Arabidopsis thaliana: one gene and its partners. The protein of the gene in region 3 interacts with the protein of the main gene of each other region in a pairwise test. Each region holds a gene or a part of one and is shown on either strand. Other genes may lie near its edges.

The links. The genes of interacting proteins can lie anywhere in the genome.
Region 1: the proteins of AT5G27370 (region 3) and AT1G65720 interact in a protein complementation assay, tested with the Arabidopsis thaliana proteins (one large-scale study listed by BioGRID).
Region 2: the proteins of AT5G27370 (region 3) and ARL interact in a protein complementation assay, tested with the Arabidopsis thaliana proteins (one large-scale study listed by BioGRID).

What each region holds. Positions count from the first base shown.
Region 1 is NC_003070.9:24,439,126-24,442,828, reverse strand, and holds AT1G65720 (uncharacterized protein), read left to right. Parts: upstream 1-1,755; 5' UTR 1,756-1,815; coding exon 1,816-2,358; 3' UTR 2,359-3,177; downstream 3,178-3,703. Other genes in the region: YSL7 (YELLOW STRIPE like 7), read right to left, coding at 1-190.
Region 2 is NC_003071.7:18,235,067-18,238,699, forward strand, and holds ARL (ARGOS-like protein), read left to right. Parts: upstream 1-1,722; 5' UTR 1,723-2,270; intron 2,271-2,368; 5' UTR 2,369-2,659; coding exon 2,660-3,067; 3' UTR 3,068-3,107; downstream 3,108-3,633. Other genes in the region: AT2G44090 (Ankyrin repeat family protein), read right to left, coding at 3,616-3,633. UniProt on the Arabidopsis thaliana protein: Promotes cell expansion-dependent organ growth, probably via a brassinosteroids signaling pathway. Acts downstream of BRI1.
Region 3 is NC_003076.8:9,665,653-9,668,386, forward strand, and holds AT5G27370 (inactive Serine/Threonine-kinase, putative (DUF679)), read left to right. Parts: upstream 1-1,658; coding exon 1,659-2,234; downstream 2,235-2,734. Other genes in the region: GSH2 (glutathione synthetase 2), read right to left, coding at 2,559-2,682. UniProt on the Arabidopsis thaliana protein: Involved in membrane remodeling.

The sequences.
Region 1 (3,703 bases), on a different chromosome or scaffold from region 3:
TCACCACAAAGGTAAAGAGAATCGCGAGTATGAAACTCACGATTAGAGCTCTGAACGTGAGCTGTTTTTGCCACGGCGGTGGGATTTCGTTACTCTCTTCGAAGATTCTCTCCACGGAGATTTCTTCTTCTTCGTTGGATTTAGATCCATTGTTTAGATCGTCGTCTTTCTTCGATCGTTCGACTTCCATAGCTGAGAGTTTTTGATTTGATTTGAGTCAGATCTGAGGAGGGGAACGAGAGAGGGAGAGATTTTATAGAGGAGAGGATCTGAAGAGAAGAGATCGGCGAGAGAAGAGGACGATTTTCTTGTAACTGAATGATTCTCTCTATTGTGTGAGTGAGAGAGAGAAGCGAATCTGTTTTAATATTTCTATATTTATAAGTCAAATGTGTTTTTTTTATAAATAATTAACCTACGTGCACGTGGACTATGGTGTGGTGTGTATACACAGTGTAAAATCTGAGTTTTTTCTTTGGTGTGGATTTAGAGTTAATTAAATTGATACGTAAATGGATTTTGGAATTTAGATTATGACATGTTTACGTGTTAAACGAGCCAATTATGACGGGTCGTAGATTGTATTAATCTTAACAGAATTAAGTTTTAGTTGCAAATGTGTTTTTTTGAAAAGAATTAAAATATTAAAATGAAAATACACGTAAATATTGTTTGAACATTTGATTTCAGAACAATAGTCGTTTATATAGTGAGTTGTTCTTCAAATTACTTTTAATTTCGGAGTACTTAACTATTAACCAATATTTTTTATAATTAAAGATTACAAGGGAATTTTACTTTTTCTACCACAATTTTCCCAAAAAAAAAATATTTCTATCGCTTTTCAATAGTACCAAATTATTTATGTGGAAAGACCAAAAAAAATAAAAACTATGTGTCCAAACGTTTACACCGATTTGACATTTTCATTTTTATGTTCTCTCACTACATTGTTAAAGACTCTAAACGTGAGCTGGCTTTGCCACGAAGGATGATCCTCATGGGCTCATGGCTGGCCTCAAAGATTCTATCATGTCATGTCGTGGCATTTGAGATCGTCATTTTTTTCCTTTATCGCTCTGTGACCGCTGCTAAATTTAAGTCTAACCTAGCTCTTTGTTTACAAGAAAGGAGAGGATTATTTTAAATAAGAGAAAAGTTGGAATATTCGAAAGTGTCGTGCTCTTATTCTATGGTACGAGACTATGAGTGACTAGATAGAATTTTCATTTAGATTCTCTAACCATAATAATTAGGTAAAAAAATCTTAGCTATTAATATTGACTAATAAATATAAAATGTGAAAGTTTGACTATACTATATTAATAAACAAATGGTTAACTTGATATTGACCATGAATGCATCATTAACTTGCTTAGAATAACAAAAATCTTATGAATTTATAACTACTAGAAGTTTGATTATATGCGAGGTGGGTTCAGACTATTCACATATTACACAAACTATTTGTGGTATTAGAACTTGTATAACTTGGACAAAATTCATATCAATTAACAATTAACCTATTGAAAATTAGATAAATAGAGAAATAAATCTATTGTTTGCTTATGTGAGTATAAATAATGAGATTTAGACTTAAAATAGTTAAGTCAAAATTAAATAATATTTTGGCACCTTTTATAAGAAAAGAAGATAAAAGGGACCTATATGATCAAATACAAAAGTAGAGGGGTTATTTCATAATAACACGTATCTTAGAAAATCTTTTTAATCTTCTTCGTTCACCGAATCTTCTTGGGTTAGGTTTGTCTTCAAAATCGTCAGAAGAAGAAGAAGAAGTCAAAGACGATAACAATGACGTCATCATCGTACCTCCGATTTGCGATCGCCGTCGTAGCTTTCCTCTCAATCACCACCATCACCACCGCACGTCCTTGCAAAACCTTCCTAATCTCCTCATATTCCCTCTCAATAACCCCAGAAAACCCTAACCTCGAATCCGATTTCACCTCCACACGATTCGTCACCGTTTTCACAATCCGTCGTCTAAATCCTCACCACGTGGTTCCTTTCTTCGTCAATCGTCGTCACGAGAAGCCACAGATCCAATCGGATCGTTCCCTCCCTTTGATCTCTGATAACATCAATTCGTTTAGAGATCGAACCAGAGATATTCTTAGCGTCGTCGTCGCGCTTTTGTTCGGTGTTGGTTGTGGTGCTTTAACCGCTGCTACTATGTATCTTGTTTGGGCTCTTGTTGTGAATCGTCAAAGCTATGATTTTGAGGAAGAAGAAGATGATTATGAGAATGATGAATCTGATGCTGCTAGCTTGAAGAAATTGGGTTATGTTAAGATTCCAGCTCCAGCTCCTGCTCCTGTGAAGGAAGCTGCTTGATTTGAGGTTGTGAATTTCAGTTTCTGCATATTATCATGATTTACGTTGTTGCTTATCTATGTTGTTGCGTACAAGTAAATTCGTCTCTGTTATGGATTTATCTAAACTTACTATACTCTAAGTATCAGTGTTTTTACGATTTGTAGTTGATGTTTCTTAGATATATATAAGTGTGATTATGATGTTACCTATGGATTTATTCATTATCTTTGATACCAATGTGACTAGTTTAGGAGCTTAATACTTAAATGGATTGATCATCAAAGGAACCAAGGTCGTGACTCGAGAAGTCTGTTTCTTGTTTTCTTTCTGACTTGCTAGAACCTAACTTGGTCGCAGGATATGTGTATGGTTCTCATAGCCCCATTTTGTGGTTTAATAGCTTTCATTCTTTCAAGCACTGATTAGCTAGAACCTAAGTAGGTCGCAGGATATGTGTCTGATTCTCGTTAACCAATCTGTGTTTTGAACAGCCTTCAAGCATTGGGAGTGTCTAGTTTTCTATTGCTTATGGTCATATGTGTGTATGGTTCTCATTGCCCCATTTTGTTGTTTAATAGCTTTCAAGCATTGCATACTTAAGGTAGTGTCTAGTTTCGGTTCCGTTTCTTGTAATCTTACTGACTAGCTAGTAGCTAGACTTTTTAAGTAGGTAGCAGGATATGGGGATGACTCTGGTTGACCCCAATCTGAGTTTTGCATAGCTTTCAGAGCATTGAGAGTGTCTAGGTTCTATTGCTTATGGTCATCTGTATATATGGTTCTTATTGCCCCATTTTGTGGTTTAATAGCTTTCAAGCATTGTGAACTTTAGGCAGTGTCTAGTTTCTGTTCTGTTTCTTGTTATATTTCTGACTACCTAGTAGGTAGACCCTTTTAAGTAGGTCGCAGGATATGTGGATGATTCTCATTGATACTAATTTCTGATTTGCATAGCTTTCAAAGCATTGAGAGTCTCTAGTTTCTATTGCTAATGGTCATCGTTGTGTATGTATATAGCTTAAAGGTTGATGTCTTGGATGCAGAGGAACAATTAAGTGCCTTATTCTCTCTAGTCTAGTAGTTATTTGCCTTGTAACAATCCTTTGTTATGTTACTATTTGATTTGAGGTTGTTTTATGTATGTAAAATCCAGTACCTAATTGTCTTGGTAATAGAATCTATAGATGTCTCAAAATCGGTCCGATTTTCGATTGTCAACACAAATGGTGCAAGATTTTGCTTTCTACATATATACTCTTTTCTTAAAAAACTACCTCAAAAGAACCTAATTGTCTTGGTACTCTTTTCTTAAAAAACTACATATATATTCAAAAAAACTACCTCAAAAGAAATTGTTTATCGT
Region 2 (3,633 bases), on a different chromosome or scaffold from region 3:
GCTACGAATTGAAATCTTTTTCTGATTTGGATAAGAGATTGCGCTCTCTGTATACGTTCTTATATATATCACTATAATCAAATATGGGTTTTCTATAAATCTGTAAGGCATTATAAACATATGTATCAATATATTCTTAACTGACATTTAGATTGGTATAAGCAATGTTATTTACCTACATATTATCTATTTGTTTACATAGGAACTGGTGGCATCGATCCTAACCATAAGATCATGAATACAAAAAATCAAAGATATCGAATCAAGTACATATCCACAAGATAATTTGAATATCTTTTAAGATCGGGAAGATATCACTATGGTGTATATGCTATTTATATAACTGATCAGTTATATATAGTTGTTAAACTTTGTTCTAACAATTTAAAAGTCTGCATCATCTTTTTATTGACGTTAATTAAGTTTTGTTTTTGTTTAAAGCGGGAGGTGAAGTTTTGTTGTAATTATGTCTACTTGAGCCATTATAATTGTAGAATAGTAATGTCATTTCCATTGGGAGTTTAGCTAGTAGTTGACGAATAAAACCATTTCTCCTTTGTAAAAAAAAGTAGAAAAGACGTAATCAATAGATGTTATACATGCGATTCATTGAATTTGGATAAATAAGTATTTTGGATTGAAAAAAAAATAAAAAATGAGTAGTGGATTTTGGTAAGCTGTCAATTGGTTAATACCAGAACGGCTGAAACTAAACTGCTTGCGAAAATTATCATGTCCCTCTTAATTAAACACCCAACGAAAAGTACTTATGAATATATCCATTAGATATTTTAATTATTACATTTTTAGGCTGTTAAACAAATAAATTATATCGGTTTACCTGAAAGATAATGAATGAAAAAAAAAAAATCTTAATATATTATTTTATGTGTTTTTAAAAATAATAAGCTGTCTTGTATTTTTAACAAATAGCATTTTTAATATAGTACGATATTTAATACTATATCACTTTTTTGTTTAAATCATACTAAACAACACCTAGCCCTTTTTAAAATAAATAATAATAATAATAATAAGACCACTTATGTATCCTTTATGTATCATGTAAAATACAAAATTCCCTAATTATATAAATTTAAGTTGGCATTTCTTCTGACTATTAAAAGCATAAAACGAAAGAGAAATAAATATTGGACCAACTGTCCCACTAAAAACGATAATATGATATAGCCACCACATGAAATGCCGAGAGGAATAACAATATGGGTCATCATCGGTCGATAACACATAGACAACATTATTATTAGGTTGGAAAATTTAATTAATTCACACACATATACATATACATATTATACAGTTCTATGACAAAAAAAAAGTGATAAATGTTGAATATATTTGTCAAACTAATTTGGTAATTCACCGAATTCAATCTATTGATTATTGCTATCACTTCTCATATTCAATTTTTTGTGCGCGAGGAATTCGAATCTTTAATTAGTACGTTTCCCCGTCCATAGTTTCAATAGATTACAACTCTAAATGATTATATAAAACAAACAAAACATTATCATATAGAACAAAGATTATTTGTGATAACCTAAAATATTTATCTTATCTTTAATTATTTGTTTCTAGTATTATTAATGACTGATACTGCTTTATTTATTTCAACCAAACAACTTTGACTATAGTCTACAATAATACACGATCAACGTTATAAAAGTTTGGATTCGTTTTAATTAAAAACCACCATTGAATATTCCAAAAGAAACTGAAACCTCCATCTCAAACAGAGGCTTACCCCAAATAAATTCCATCCCACGTCATCATCAGAGAAAGTGTCTAGGGGAGAAGAACCACTGTGATTGTGGAAAGAGAGAGAGAAGTGTAAAGTAATCAAATAGAGAGATTTCAATTTTGTTCAGACCTTCCAGAATAAGCAGCAACTTGCCTCTCACACTTGTCACCCCCAAAAGAGAAAAAAAACATTAAAATTAAAATCTTATCATTTTAGAAAAATCTGTAAATTCAGTGAACCTTCCTCTGTTTCCTGTTTCTTCTCTGATTCCACAGTCTTAACCCCAAAAACATTATATTTATTTCTCTCATTATCTTTTACCATCTATTTTTATACCAATTCCTTTTATCAAAACCACTCCCACTTTATTTCTTCTTCTCTGGTTTTCTTACCAAAAGAAACTTTCTTCGTCTTCCTCTGTATTTAAGCTTTAACACCCTGTTTTTGGTTTCCAACGTTCAATCTTCATCTTCTTCTCGCTGAAGGTGTGTTTGGCTCTAACGGTTTAAAGGTACTTACTTTCGATTCTTTTGATTCATTCTCTGCTCATGTTTTTGATTGAATCACAACGATTTACTGATCAAAACTTGGACAAATTTTCTCTTGCAGCTTTCTTGAAACACCAATTGAATCTTTTCTCTCTACCGGCAAAAAAAAAAGATTAGTCCTTTTAGGTCTGGAAACGCCAAGATCACTCGTTCTAAACCTTAGATTTTGTCTGCATTTCGGGATAATCATTTCATCGTCAGGGTTCTTCAACCAAACTACATTTACAGAAGAAGAAGAAGAAGAAAAGTTCGTTACTTTTTATGCGTTTGGATAAACAAACTCAAGTTTCTTCTTCATACATCGATCTGATTTTCCAGATCAAACTTCGAAAAGAGAAAAAGCCTTCTTTAAATGATTCGTGAGTTCTCCAGTCTACAAAACGACATCATAAACATTCAAGAACATTATTCTCTCAACAACAACATGGACGTGAGAGGAGATCATAACCGGAAAAACACGAGTTTTCGTGGTTCAGCTCCAGCTCCGATTATGGGGAAGCAAGAATTGTTTCGGACATTGTCGTCGCAGAACAGTCCAAGGAGGCTAATATCAGCGAGTTACTTCAGTTTAGAATCAATGGTTGTGCTTGTTGGTCTCACAGCATCTCTCTTGATCTTACCGTTGATTCTTCCACCATTGCCTCCTCCTCCTTTTATGCTGCTTTTGATTCCTATTGGGATTATGGTTTTGCTTATGGTTCTTGCTTTCATGCCTTCTTCTAATTCCAAACATGTTTCTTCTTCTTCCACTTTTATGTAATAAACGTTTCTTTAATTGAAGAAAGAAATCCTTAAACAAAGGGAGGTTTTGTCTATTGTCATTACATAAGGTTTCAGGGTAAGAGATTAATATTTCATTTGTAAAACTTGTTTTCTTGATGCAGAATTATACAACTATTTATATAAATAAAGAATGATTAATAGTTTCATGATTTCATTTTTCTCATGGTCTGAAGCAAAACCAGGATGAGAGATTGGTACAAAATGTAAGAAATTGAAAGGCTTTCATTACAGGAGAGGAGACCAATAAGAGTCTGAGACAGAAGAAGTGAAATAATATGTAGATGAAATAATATAAAAGGCTTTGATTATCTCTCCCATGGTTTAGGATGCATAAAAGACAGATAGAGAGACTTTTGACAAAGACATTCTCATAGCAAGTTTGTACAAGTCTACAAGAACCCTTTTTCATCATCTCACAACCTGGATCAGAATCCATAACTATAGTGGAATGGTTGTTTTTCAGTTCTTATTTTATCAACTATTTAAAACGAGTTGTGTTAACTCAGATGCTGAATCCATTGTTGCTCAGTGTAAAGAAGCTTT
Region 3 (2,734 bases):
ATTTGTTCTGAATGAAAAATGTATAATTAGTTTATATTATTTCAAAAGTTTGTGCACTAATATATTATAGATTTATTTGAAAAAAGATCCGGTTGAAAAATAGAAAAAAGAAAATCCAAAATATTTCAAAATTAGTATGTAAAATTTATTGTTTAGATATTTCTAAATGTAAGGCATAATGATAATTATTTTAAATTAATTATTTTAGTTTAATTCATAGTAAATATTAATATTTGTAACATCTTATCTCGTTTTTAAAAATTTTAAAATAAATTTTCGTTTTATATTTCAAAATACTTAACCCAAAATTCTAAATTGAATTTATTTATCTATCACAAATTATGATTTTTTTATTCATGATATCAAGCAAGTCTTATGATTTTTTAAAATTTTAAAATAAAACTTAACTTCCAAAATGTTAGTTTAATAATATTGTATAATTTGATATCAAATCTAAGTTTTTCAATTTTTATTGGTTAACAAATTTTAAGAAATATATTTTATTTTTTCGTCTATAATTAATAGGAAAGAGAAAGTGAGTTTAATTTTGGGAAACTAATAATTACTTAAAAGAATATTACCAATTTTTATATTTAAATATATTAATTTTGTGATTACTATTGTATTCTTAATAAATTTATTTAAAAACACTAACAATCAATGGCATTCTATGTAATATTTTACCCTTCATAAGGTTGTTTATTTTCAATGATTTCCAATTAATAGTATAGATGCATCTCGCAACTGGATTTTTTTTTTTTTTTTTTTGTAAAGGATCTTCATGAAATTTCATCAGATGAAAATTTTACGGTTCGCTTAATGAGAAACGGTTCGATCTTTATGTGTGCAAGGTTAGTAACATCTTACATTTTCATACATATTTTCATTTCGTCATATTATTTATATAAAACAAGAATACAAGATATATATTTTAAATGAAAGACCATTAGACGTTACATGTATTTTGTGTTATAAAAATTGACGTATTTTTGTAAGACCGAGTCACCAAAATGAGTTAGGTACAACCGTGCAAGATATCGCTTAATGGACTCAATTTCATAGAACATGCACATCTCCAATTATTTACGTTTTAGCTCAAATATTATGTTTTTTTTTTCCTAAGATTTGTTTTTTCTTTCCCTGGCAGATTTGATTAATCAAATAATGCATGTGTGTGTGAACACGTAAAAAAATCGTGTCCCAACTTGTTTATGGCCATGCAAAAATAACGAATCGAATTTTGTAAAAAATAGCACTTTCATAAAAGTATTTTGACACTTTAAGATCTAAACACGAAATAAGAGCGTACCTCCACTTAATATCTTGATGCACCATAATTTCATTAACGACTAGCCAAAGTTATAAACCACAAACTAAGTTCCAATATATAAACTAACTTCTAACAAAAAAGGGTTATCCAAATGTGTATATCTATAGTTCTTTATTTTCTTTTGACAAAATGTGGAAATATATAGTAACAAAACTAAATATATATTACATATTCGGACACCAAATAAAACTCGACATCTTTAAGAAATGTATATAAAGACGCATCAAACATATCCTCACGCATGCATGCATTACGTATAGAAGAACATACAAAACACTCTTTCTCCACATAACATACAAACTTTCCTCACTTCCGATCAAATTACGAAATGGAGGCGTCGTTCATTAGATCGCTACCGTCTGCCGGAAACTTCGCCAACCTATTGCCGACCGGGACCGCCCTCATATTCGAAACCCTACTACCGTCTTTCTCCAATGGCGGCGAGTGCAACAACAAACCCGTCAATAAACTCCTCACCATTACTCTCATCTCCTTTTGCGCCGCGGCTTGCTTCTTCTCCTCCTTCACCGACTCATATGTAGGCCAAGATGGCCGCATTTACTACGGAATTGCCACCTCTAACGGTCTCCACATCCTCAACGACTATCCAGACGAAGGTTATGATCCAGAGTCCGGCTTAACGGCTGATAAGAGAGAGAGATATAAGCTCAGTTTTGTAGATTTCGTGCATGCTTTCGTGTCGGTTATCGTGTTCTTAGCGTTAGCCGTAGAGAGCTCGGATTTTCGGAGGTGTTTGCTCCCGGAGGACGATGAAAACAGTTGGGGTGGTCATTTTGTACTTATGATCAAGTACTTTGCTGTTATGGTGTTGACAATGGCAAGCTTCTTCTTTGCTATCTTTCCCTCAAAACGGAGAGGCATCGGAATTTCAGACATTCGTTGATTCATAACATTTATTTGTGTATGTACATATATGTGCCTATGGTCTAAATATGTTGCTATGGTAATAATCTTTATACCCCAAATTCCATGATTGATCTTATCTTATTCAATTCATGATCTTTATAAACGAGTAATCATCTCACACGGTCTAAAAATAACAATAAGCAATGTAGGCTTTGCGGTCCTGTGGAAAGAATTGTAAAGAGCTTTGCCTAGTCTTATTGATCTTCATGATTAATACACAAATCTTTAACAAGCAAGAAGAGAAGAAGAAGGAATAAACCAGAAGAAAAACTGATCAAGATGGTTGTGAATGTTATCCATCTCAAATCAGATATATGCTGTCCAAGACTCCAAAACCAGCTGCAACGCCGCCTTCATCTGATGATGCGATCTTCGTGCGCATTAGATAACCACTCTGCTCGTTTACTATAACTTCGTCTTTGCTCCTACATATTTCATTTAATCAAAGATTATGGCACAAAATTAAGTTGAGAATTA